Linked DNA regions of Sus scrofa. The protein of the gene in region 2 purifies or fractionates together with the protein of the main gene of each other region. This does not show direct contact. Links are inferred from orthologs where the notes say so. Each region holds a gene or a part of one and is shown on either strand. Other genes may lie near its edges. The genes, in order: SNX30, SNX4 and SNX7.

Region 1 (3,751 bases), on a different chromosome or scaffold from region 2:
GTAGATGCCGCATTTAAATCTGTTTCCAGTGCCCCCTGGTCCTGTTCTCCACAACCAAGACAGACCCACATAGGGGAGAGAAAAGATGAGAACTCAAGCCTTGAGGCCAGATGACTTGCACTAGAGAAAACAAGGTAAGGTCTCTGAAGCTCCGTGAATCCCTGGGTGTTATTGTGTGTTAGCATAAACCCTCTGCATTCTCTTCCTGCTGAAGTATATAGAATGATGAGGTATTCTAGAAAAAAACAGCGCGGTGGAGACCACAGTCAATCCCAGCTTCAAGATTAGCCGGGTGAAAGTGGACGAACCCAGTGTTTGGCGACAGGGGCAAAGAAAAACGTGCTCCCTTCACAACGGGCCCCTCTACCCATTACTTTGTGAGTATCGACCTGTTCTTACAGCAGGTTGAGGACCTCTACAGACTTGGCCCTGAGCGCAGAAGCTGTGAAGCCAGGTAAGGTGGAAAAAGGAGGTAAACTTCAAAGAGCCAAGAGGCTTTGGCAATCTCCATTCTGCTGGCACATAAAAACCTCAGAATCCAGCCCAGCCAAAGGCCTGGAAAGGAAGCACAAAAGAATGAAAACTAACGGGAGCCTCGGTCAAGGTGTGAGTGTAAGGGTCATTGATCCTGGGTAGCACTCCCTGCCTTTATTTCTTGATGCTCACTCTTCTGAGGTTTAACCTTACATAAACCCGGGTGACCCGCAGATGCAAAACCACGGGGATCTTGCATCGGAAGAAACCCCACACGCCTCCTCGAATTCTCTTCCAGGTTCCTTGCCCGATGTTCTCGATCCCCTGGGAGCCTCATAATCTTTTTACGCCATTCTTATAATATGCGTCGTAATATCTTCCATTTTGGATTATTTTAGAGGCCAGAAGATCCCCACTCCCGTGCGTGTCCTAAAGCCCCCAGCTCCAAGCGCGGCTGCCTCTGGGTGCACCAGTGATCGCGGTGGAACGGAACAAGATCCTCCAACGTCTTTCTCCACCCCTGATTTCCGTTAAATATCCGCTCCGGGGGTCTGCGCGCAGCCTGCAAGGGCCGGCCTCCCGGAGGCGAGCCTGGACTCTCGGAGGACAGCGGCGGAGGGCTCCCGGCGCACTTCCTGCGGGACGGCGGCCGGGGGCGGAGCTGCCCGCCTCCCCCCTCCCCCGTGCCCCTCCCTCCGCCCTCCTCTCCCCGCCCCCGCCCCCTCCCAGAGCGGCCGGGCGCCGCGGGGGCGGGGCCGCGAGCGGGCTGGGCGGCGTGGCGGTGCGGGCTGGGCTGGCGCCGGGGCCAAGGTGCGAGCGGACCCGCCACGGGCTCGGGAGCAGAGTCGGGGCGCGCGGCGCGGAGCTGGGTAGCACAGTTCAGCCGACCCAGCGCGGGCAGACAGGAGCCCGCGGGTGGCGGCGGCGGCGGCGGCGGCGGCGGCTTCCAGACCGGTTGGTGCTGGGCCTCCGACCGAGCCGCGGCCGAGCGGGGCCTTGGCCCGGGCGCTGGGGGAGCCCGCGGCGGCGGGCAGCAGGAGGAAGCGGCGGCGGCGGCGAGTCCCGAGCGGTGCGCGCCATGTCGGGCAGGCCCCCCAAGGCCCTGCCGTCCACGGGGCCCCACTCCCTGCGCGACATGCCGCACCCGCTGGCCGGCTCCAGCAGCGAGGAGGCCGTGGGCGGCGACAGCACGCCCAGTCCGGACCTGCTGATGGCCCGCAGCTTCGGCGACAAGGTAGGGCACGTGGGACTGGGAATCGTTTCGCTCCCTAGGGAGACGAGATACCTGGAGCACCACTGGGCACGGGCCGCGCCCACCCTGGCGCTCCTTTCCGGGGGCAGGCGTGCCCTCGCCCCAGAGCCTTGGGAAAATTATCTCTCTGCCGCCCCCGCGGGGTCGCAGCCGCAGGGGGAGCGGACAGAAGGGACGGAATTGCCCGGCTGTGACTGGTCGGGAGCGCCAGTGACAGCTGGTGGGGAGGGGTCCCGCCTGGCGGTTGTGGCCGGAGGCGTGGGTGCAGTACTAGGTCCTAGGTCCTGGGATGGGGTCTCGGATCCTCCGGACACATCCCTGAAAGCTGAGCTACCGTGTCACTTGTAGCTCCTCCAGTTTGCTGGGATTGCCAAGAAGCAAGAGTTAATGGTTTTCCGTGGTCTCACTGCCAGAGGCGTCTTACCCTCGTTCTGTCTTGTGGGGAGTGAGATCTTTGTTTAGGTTTGCTGTGTGCCCTGAGGAGTCACCTGACTCAGACCCCAGCTGGCTGCGGGAGGAGCGAGGAGCGTATCCCTGTGGTTTCCTATTTGGAGCTCCATCCACCTCTGCCGATCTCCCACACTGTTTAGGGTTTGGCAGAGGCTGGTTTTGTGTTTGATGGAAAGAAAGGTCGCCCTTTGACCTTCTTTGTGTAGAGAGAGGCTCTTGGTTTTCCTTAGAGCAGCATGACCCTCCCGCTGCCTTGAGAGACAGCAGAGTCCGGTGAGGGGTAAGGGGCGGCGTCCCCCCTCCCCCCGCAGAGTTGCTAGTTCAGCTGTGACCAGGACTTGAGCTGTGATTGTATCAGCGCCACTGTTGCCACTTAGTCACTAATTGCAGGAATTAGAATTGTTCTCAACCCCTGTGATCACGCTTGTCCCGTCCTAGTAAAATAGTTAAGTGGATTCCTCCTTGTCCCAAAATTAAATGGAATCAGGGAACCTAACTTTCTTTCCCTCTTAGATGGAAGGACATGTGGTACAGTAAAAATGAGTATGAGTGCATTGAGCAGTCAGAATAGCTGGAGATGTACCTTCCCCAGAGGGTTTGTGAAAGCAAAGAGTGCCGGGGCTGGGGATGGGGTAGGGGTCGGCAAAGCATTAGGAAAGAGACATCTTAAGCTAATGAAAGCAATGGATTGAACAGCTTGAGTTGTGTTTGGAAGGGCGCTCTTTGTATTTCTCTTTATTTTATAGAAGATTAGAGACCGTATGAAGGCTTATATCACTTGGAAATACCTTGCCCATGTTTGACATTCAATATGAAATTGACTGAATGACTGAATGAGTAATTTGATGCTTTTTTAAGGACAGAGAACTTGGTGCTACATGCATGTAGGAGGGGAACTGAAGTTAAACCTCCAATTTCTTTCTCAGGTTTGTGTAGGATAGTGAATTAATTATCTACTGCTGTATAACCAATTACTCCAGAACCTTGCGTCTGAAAATAGTACCTGTGGGTCAGAAATCTGGGAGCAGCTTAACTGAGTGGTTTTGACTCAGGTCTTTCATGAAGTTGCATTCACTGAAGACTGGATTGAGGGTGGATCAGCTCCCAAGCACACTGACTTGGCTGTGGGCAGGCCTTAGTTCCTCTTCATGGGGCTGCTTGATGTGGCAACTGGTTTCCCCTGGAGCAAGTGATCCAAGAGATGAAGAGACCCCAAGACTCAAGCCACAGTCTTGTATAAGCTCCTTTCAGAAGTGACATTCTTCTGCCATATTCTCTAGGTCACATTGACCATCATTGGTACAGCATGGGAAGAGGGTGTGGATATCAGGAGGTGGGGATTATTGGGGTCACATTGGAGGCTGGCTACAACCGATGGCTCTTTTTAAATAGCTGCTTAAGGATCCATTCTTGGAGGACATCTGATTCAGAAGTGTGGGCATTTTGCTACTAACTAATGGGAGGACACATACCCCCAAGATCTAGTTGGTGCACAGGAAGTCATGCCTAAGTCACATATCTTTGGCTTCCTTTACAGGGACAGTTCCATGAAAGAGAGTCTTTTTTTTTTTTTCC
Region 2 (3,651 bases):
CAACACCAGATCTTTAACCCACTGTATCACAAGAAAATTCCTCCTCTTCTTTTTTTTTAATGGCCACAAAAGGCAGGGCCTAGTCACTAGAAAACGTCTAAAGGCACAGAGATTTTCTTTAGACCCCAAACCACCCAATTTACCCAATCATTTAACAAATATTTACGAGTTCTCATCATGGCGCAGCAGAATCGAATCTGACTAGGAACCATGGGGTTGCAGGTTCGATCCCTGACCTCGCTCAGTGGGTTAAGGATCCTGTGTTGCCGTGAGCTGCTGCGTAGGTGGCAGACATGGCTCAGATCTGTCATTGCTGTGGTTGTGGTATAGATCGGCAGCTGTAGCTCTGATTGGACCCCTAGCCTGGGAACCTCCATATGCCACAGGTGCAGGCTTAAAAAGCAAAAACGAACAAACATAAAAAGCACATAATTGGTTTTACATGAAACATTTGATTTAACCCTGACAATAAAGTAGGTAGTATCATAACCCTCTTTTACAAATTAGAAGAATTAAGTAAAGACAACATATAGCCTCCCAAGCCATGGAGTCATTCTTACCTATTATTACATACAGTACTCTTACCCATTTTAAAAGGTTCATATTAGGAGTTCCCGTCGTGGCTCAGTGGTTAACGAATCCGACTAGGAATCATGAGGTTGCGGGTTCAATCCCTGCCCTTGCTCCGTGGGTTAACGATCCAGCGTTGCCGTAAGCGTGGCGTAGGTTGCAGACGTAGCTCAGATCCCTTGTTGCTGTGGCTCTGGCATAGGCTGGTGGCTACAGCTCCGATTAGACCCCTAGCCTGGGAATCTCCATATGCTGCAGAAGCGGCCCTAGAAAAGGCAAAAAGACAAAAAAAAAAAAAAAAAAAAAGGTTCATATTCTATGAACAGGAAAACAAAATCTCTGGAGAAATTAAATCAGCAACTTTATCAGAAAGAGAAAGACAAATACCATATGATATCACTTATAAGTGGAATCTAAAATATGGAACAATTGGAGTTCCTGTCGTGGCTCGGTGGTTAACGAATCCGACTAGGAACCATGAAGTTGCAGGTTCGATCCCTGCCCTTGCTCAGTGGGTTAAGGATCCAGCACTGCTGTGAGCTGTGATGAAGGTCACAGACAAGGCTCAGATCCAGCACTGCTGTGGTTGCGGTGTAGGCCAGCGGCTACAGCTCCAATAAGACCCATAGCCTGGAAACCTCCATGTGCCAAGGGTGTGGCCCTAGAAAAGATAAATAAATAAATAAATAAATAAATAAAATAAAACACAGAACAATTAAACCTATCTACAAAACAGAAACAGACTCACGGACATGGAGAACAGACTTGTGGCTACCTGGGGGACGGGGAGGGAGTGGGATGGACTGGGAGTTTGGGATTAGTAGATGCAAACTATTAAACTGAGAAGGATAAGCAATAAGGTCCTACTGTACAGCACAGGGAACTGTATCCAGTCTGCTGGGATAGACCATGATGGTGAAGGAGAGAGAGAGAGAGACAGAGTGTGTGTGTGTGTGTGTATAGGTGTGACTAGGTCACTGTGCTGTATGCAGAAATGATATGACACTGTAAATCAACTATATTTTAAATAAAAAATTTAAAAATAAAATCAAACAGAGACTTCAGCCTTATTCATTCTTAGTGTACTAAACTATTAATACTATAGGCAATTGCTAAATGGACTTTCTACTAGTGCCCCAAGAGTAGGTAATAAATGAATGATAAAAGTTCAACTTTTAGTTAATGTCAAGCTGTAGATCTGGCATTGCTGTGAGCTGTGGTGTTGGGTCACAAACACAGCTCGGGTCTGGCACTGCTGTGACTGTGGCATAAGCCAGCAACTACAGCCTGGGAACTGCCATGTGTCGCAGGTGCAGCCCTAAAAAGACCAAAAAAAAAAAAAAAAAAAAAAAACAACAAAAAATTCTCTAAAAAAACAATGACCTGTAAACAATTCCACTATACAACAGAATTTGCATCAACAACTACCAAAGCTTTTTCTAGCCAAACCTAGGCCTAATTCTCATCACTCACCTTGTTTCAATGAGGTAAGCAGTATATGTTTCTTGCATGTTCATGGCATTTCTTCCAGTTCGCTTTTCTGCTTCTGAAACACTAATTTCTATCTTCTTCAACCAAAAATTATTTTCTGTCATCTGAACAAAGGAAATGGAAGAACAACAAAAAACTTCAAAAATTAATATTGAAAAAAACGACCTATTAAAATAAAATCCATTATTAGTACATATTTCAAGCTACTTTCTTGAACTTCTTGAGTAGCTAGAGGTTGCTAAATGACAGCAACAAATGATATGCCCCTTATAATCAGCAGACTGTAGTACATTAAACTTTTCTAGATGCTATTTTAACAAGTACCATACACTCTAAAATGTAGGTAAGATAATAGGAGAAAAAATTAAAAAAAGATATTTCACATAAGTGACCAAGAATAAATGTATACAGAAATACATAAGAAAAAAATCTAAAAACATTGTATACAAAGATGAATGATCATCAATACTGATACCTAATCTTTTTATTTACCAAAGTGAACTCTCTCTTTCAAATATAAAATACGATATAGATGCCAAAAGGTTAGCTTTTCAGGTGGCAAGTTAATTTGGGAAAAAAAGTAGGAATTATCACATATTCAACTATAAATTTGCCTAAATATTTTCCCCTCCCTTTTTTGGCCACCCTGAGGCATACAGAGCTCCCAGGCCAGGGATAAGATCTGAGTTACAGTTTTCAACCTACACCTCAGTTGTGCCAATACCGGATCCTTAATCCACTGCACCAGGCCAGGGATCGAACCTGTGTCCCAGCACTGCAGAGATGCTGCCGATCCCATTGTGCCAGTGGGAACTCCTAAATTTGCCTAAATTTCTTCAGCAGTGGTTAACAGCAGTCTCCACTATGAGACAGCACAAGGATTTTTTTTTAATATTGTTTAAAATTTATTTTTTATTGAAGTATAGTTGATTTACAATGTTATTTTAGTTTCTGGTGTGCAGCAATGTGATTCAGTTATACATATATTTTTTTTTTTTAATGGCCACACCTGAGGCATATGGAAATTCCTGGGCCAGGGACTGAATCCAAGACACAGCTGTGACCTATACCAAAGCTGCAGAAACATCAGATCCTTTAACCCACTGCACCAGGTCAGGGATGGCACACACACCTCTGCAGCAACCCGAGCTGCTGCGGTCAAATTCTTAACCTACTGTGCCACAGCAGGAACTGCAACATGTATTTTTTCAGAGTCTATTCCACTATGGTTTATTACAAGATACTGAATATAGTTTCCTGTGTTATATAGTAGGACTTTATCTGGGACAGCAGGTTTTAAGAAGAGGAGACATCTTTCTTTTCTTGCTAGATCATCCCCAGGTTTGTATCAAAGCCCCAAAGAGACTGACAAACATACCACTGGTGGGTCATAGGCTACATGTGCAGGAAGTGTGCCAGTGAAGAAGGATCTTAATACACCCAAAGTAACTTCGACTATAAACACAGTGAGACTTGGTGCTAACTGCTGTGCTTTGGGTTTTTTCTCCCTTGTTCAGTTTCAAAGTTCAGAGGTATGTTTTAATTAAAAACACTGTACTGGAGTTTGTGTTATGGCTCAGGGGAAACAAA
Region 3 (3,651 bases), on a different chromosome or scaffold from region 2:
CTCTTTCTGTTCCAAGGGATTCTCAGATGCTTTGTCTTCAGTGAGCCTATTATAATTTTATATGTCTATTAAAGCCTATCATAATTTAATACTTCTATTACCCCACTCTATTATGACTGCTTGCATAACTCTCATACTCCTAGGACATATGCTCCTTAAAACAGGGCTGAGTCTTATTTTTTAATCTCAAAGCCTAATACATAATGTATTTAATAAATATTTTCATATCAATGAAAGAATGATGAACAAAAGACTACTCAATGCTTGATAAGCCATTTATTCAAAAATTTGGATTTCATTTAAAATCTGTGTATTTTTATATTTTTGCTTTTACGCTATCAACTTTGAATGATAGATGGCTTTTCAAAGGCAGGGAATGTATACGCAGAGAGATTTTTGGTCTACTATTCATATCAACATAATTAAATTCTCTGTATTTAATCTTACTACTCATTAGGGTTAGTTGAAATATGTCATACTGCTCTACATTAAACTTTTTCCTAAACTATTAGAATTTCAAAAGTTTCCATGTTCAAGTAAACGGGAAAAAAAACTTTAAAAATGTAAAAACAATAGAAATATTAGTTGTCACCTAAGGAAGACATTAGGCTTAATGAACACGAGAGCCCCTCCAAACTGCACTCTCCCGATGCCATAATAGCTAATATTTCTAGAAAATAAAATGCTCTCCTTTATTTCTTCTCTCAAGTTGTGTGTATATCATTGTGTGTCATTAAACCCATGCAGTATTTACTTTTACATAGAGAGCTTCCTTGAAATTCTAAACAATGCTTAGATAGCACTTAAACCACCTTCGTGTGCAAACATTTAATGGGGGGGCATGGTAATTTGTCTGTTAATATAACTCCTTTGTCAACTAAGACTATGAGCTCAAGGGAGGTACTGTTTCATCACCCCTTTAACTCTTCAGCACAAAGCAGCAGCATAACATGTGGTCAATACATATTTGCCAAAGAAGCTGAGGAACACAAAATAAAGCAAAATCAAAGAAAACAATCGAATAAGATATAAAAAGAGAAACCACTAGTTATGATCTCCAGATCCTTCATGGTTTATGAATGAAATGCTCTATGTAGCTTAGATTCCCAAAACTACTTCTTAAAAAATTCCATTGTTTTCAATGACATCTTGACAAGCAGGTTTCACATCTGAAAGCCCAAGAAAGCCCTCAAGTTCGGGCCACTGTGCATTCTCCTTGAAAATGAGAGCTCAAAAAAAAAAAAAAAAAAAAAAAAAAAAAAAAAAAACAAAAAAAAACTAAACTTTTGTGAAGCTCCCAGTCCACGGGCACAGCCTCACTAAAAGCCTGAGACCCTCAGCAAGGATTCCGAGCACACTGCCCCTCCCCCACACCTCAGCACATCACCAACGCCTATTGCCTATTCACCGCAGTTCGTTTTATCGGTACATCATGTCCTGCTGCCATGAAAAAAGACATACAAGGCAGAAAACACAACTGAAAGAGAAAGCAAGCATCAGAACCAGCTTTGGCAGGGGTGCTGGAATTATCAGACTAGACTTTAAAATGACTCTGATTAATACGTTTAAAGGCTCTAAGAGATAAACAATAACAGATGGACACTAAGCAGAGATGGAAATCCTAAGAATAACTAAAAAGAAATGCTAAGCTGATGCTGTCTTGCTCCCACTACATCAATACATGTAAAAGATCCATCAGAAAGTCAACAACTTTGAAATCCCATTTCAGGGACTTTACGTACCCCTTTCTTCCTTGTAGATTCTCTGAGATATTTTATCTATCAAGTTTATTTTATGGCTAAATATTTCAATAAAGTTATTCATTTCCATGAACTCCTCGGGGCGGCTTTTAACTCCTCTCATTGACAATGCCACCGATCTGACGGTCTGCCCCATCCTGCTAAGTAATCCAGGCCCTTGCTTCTTGTGAGAAGAGAGCTCCTAGAAACAAACAAACAAAAGAAATACAGTATTTGTGATGAAGCAACAATGATATGCCAAGACCCAACAACAAAAAAGAAACTTAATTAGAAGAATAAAATAAAGATAATAACATGTTTCTTATACATCTTTTTGCAAACTATTGATTTGAAATAGATGAATTTAGGGTACAGGTCTCCTTGCTAATAATATTCCTTTTCAAAGTTCTCATGTAAAACACATCCACATGCTGCCTCAGAGCATGGATCTTCCAAGAACAGTTTAATTGAGGGGATCTTGCTTAAAGAGATACTGGAGAAGATCAAAAGGATGATTTCAGATGAACTCTAGATTTTATAACAGAAATTTAATAGAAAAATGATTAGGAGATTTCTCAGGGTCTAAACTATTCCCAAGAAGAAAAAAAAATGGAAAACTCCATTAATTCATTAGTTATAATAATAGCGAGCATTTATTAAGAGCTTAATATGCCACAGGTACAATACTTCCATTTTTTTATCTATATAACTCGTTAACACCATGAAATTTTATAATAATAATAGCTAACATTTACATATGTTGCAGGTACAATACTTGCTTTTTTTTTGTTTTTGTCTTTTTAGGGCCACATCCATGGCATATGGAACTTCCCAGGCTAGGGGTCCAATCAGAGCTGGAACTGCCGGCCTGCACCACACCCACAGCAAGGACAGATCTGAGTCAAGTCTGTGACCTACACCAGAGCTCACGACAATGCCAAATCCTTAACCCACTGAGTGAGGCCAGGGATCGAACCCACATCCTTATGGGTACTAGTTGGGTTTTTTACCACTGAGCCACAATGATAACTCCCTTGCATTTTTATATATGTAACTCACATTAACACTACGCAGTAGGTTCTATTATTACTCTCATCTTACAGAGGAATACAGAGGCGCAGAATGGTTAAAGTGCTTGCTTGAGGTCAAGAGCAATGCACTGGTGGACAAGGATCAGAGTCCCGCCAGTCTGACTGCAGGGGCTTCATTGCAAAGCCCTAACCTGCTTTGTCTTCTTTTTTGTTTGTTTCTTTTGTGCTTTGTCTTCTTAAAGTCACTAGCATGGCTGGCAAACCTGACCATCGCTCCTCAACCAACTTCCCTGGGTAAGCTGTGACTCTATCTCCACTGGCTATTTTTGGAGAGGGACTTTTAATAAAATATGTAACTAGCTGTTTCACAGTTAACCAAGGAGGGTGAGCTACAGGCTTGCAAAGTAGAGATGCTATAAAAGGCTACACCACACAAGAGCATCCCTTCACAAGGACCGCATACTAAAAAAGAACCCGGAGAAGGAGGAAAAGGGATTCTGATGATGGCTGTGGCACATGTTTCAATATGGGTTTGGGATCAAATAGAAGTTAAAGAACATATACACACACACAAATCTATACATAACAATGCTGACAACCAAATCCACAGATAACATTATATATTATTTACCCCAATATTAAATAACACATTATCTTTTGTCCAGACTTTCTTTCTTTTGTTGAGGTCTTAACACAAACTATATCAACTTGTTGATCTCCATGTCAGGATGATTTTGTGTGCAAATAATAACAGATGCCATCCCTGACCAGGCAACACAGCCATCCAGGAGTGCTACCACATCATCTGCTAGAGCAAAGCATTATCGGAAACAGCACAAGTCACAGGTGGCAAAGCTGTTACTGCAACTATTGATGGCAGA

Evidence for each region.
Region 1: the proteins of SNX4 (region 2) and SNX30 purify together in Homo sapiens (co-immunoprecipitation; 4 studies listed by BioGRID and IntAct, counting the BioPlex papers as one, with this or other methods). This does not show direct contact. The link is inferred for Sus scrofa from reciprocal best matches to the Homo sapiens genes SNX4 and SNX30.
Region 3: the proteins of SNX4 (region 2) and SNX7 purify together in Homo sapiens (affinity purification with mass spectrometry; 3 studies listed by BioGRID and IntAct, counting the BioPlex papers as one, with this or other methods). This does not show direct contact. The link is inferred for Sus scrofa from reciprocal best matches to the Homo sapiens genes SNX4 and SNX7.

Annotation. Positions count from the first base shown.
Region 1 is NC_010443.5:253,427,225-253,430,975, forward strand, and holds the start of SNX30 (sorting nexin-30), read left to right. Parts: upstream 1-1,236; 5' UTR 1,237-1,552; coding exon 1,553-1,708; intron 1,709-3,751. UniProt on the Homo sapiens protein: Involved in the regulation of endocytosis and in several stages of intracellular trafficking. Together with SNX4, involved in autophagosome assembly.
Region 2 is NC_010455.5:134,837,470-134,841,120, reverse strand, and holds part of SNX4 (sorting nexin-4), read right to left. Parts: intron 2,166-3,651; coding exon 2,044-2,165; intron 1-2,043. UniProt on the Homo sapiens protein: Involved in the regulation of endocytosis and in several stages of intracellular trafficking. Plays a role in recycling endocytosed transferrin receptor and prevent its degradation.
Region 3 is NC_010446.5:119,217,793-119,221,443, forward strand, and holds part of SNX7 (sorting nexin-7), read right to left. Parts: intron 1,942-3,651; coding exon 1,743-1,941; intron 1-1,742. UniProt on the Homo sapiens protein: Involved in the regulation of endocytosis and in several stages of intracellular trafficking. Together with SNX4, involved in autophagosome assembly by regulating trafficking and recycling of phospholipid scramblase ATG9A.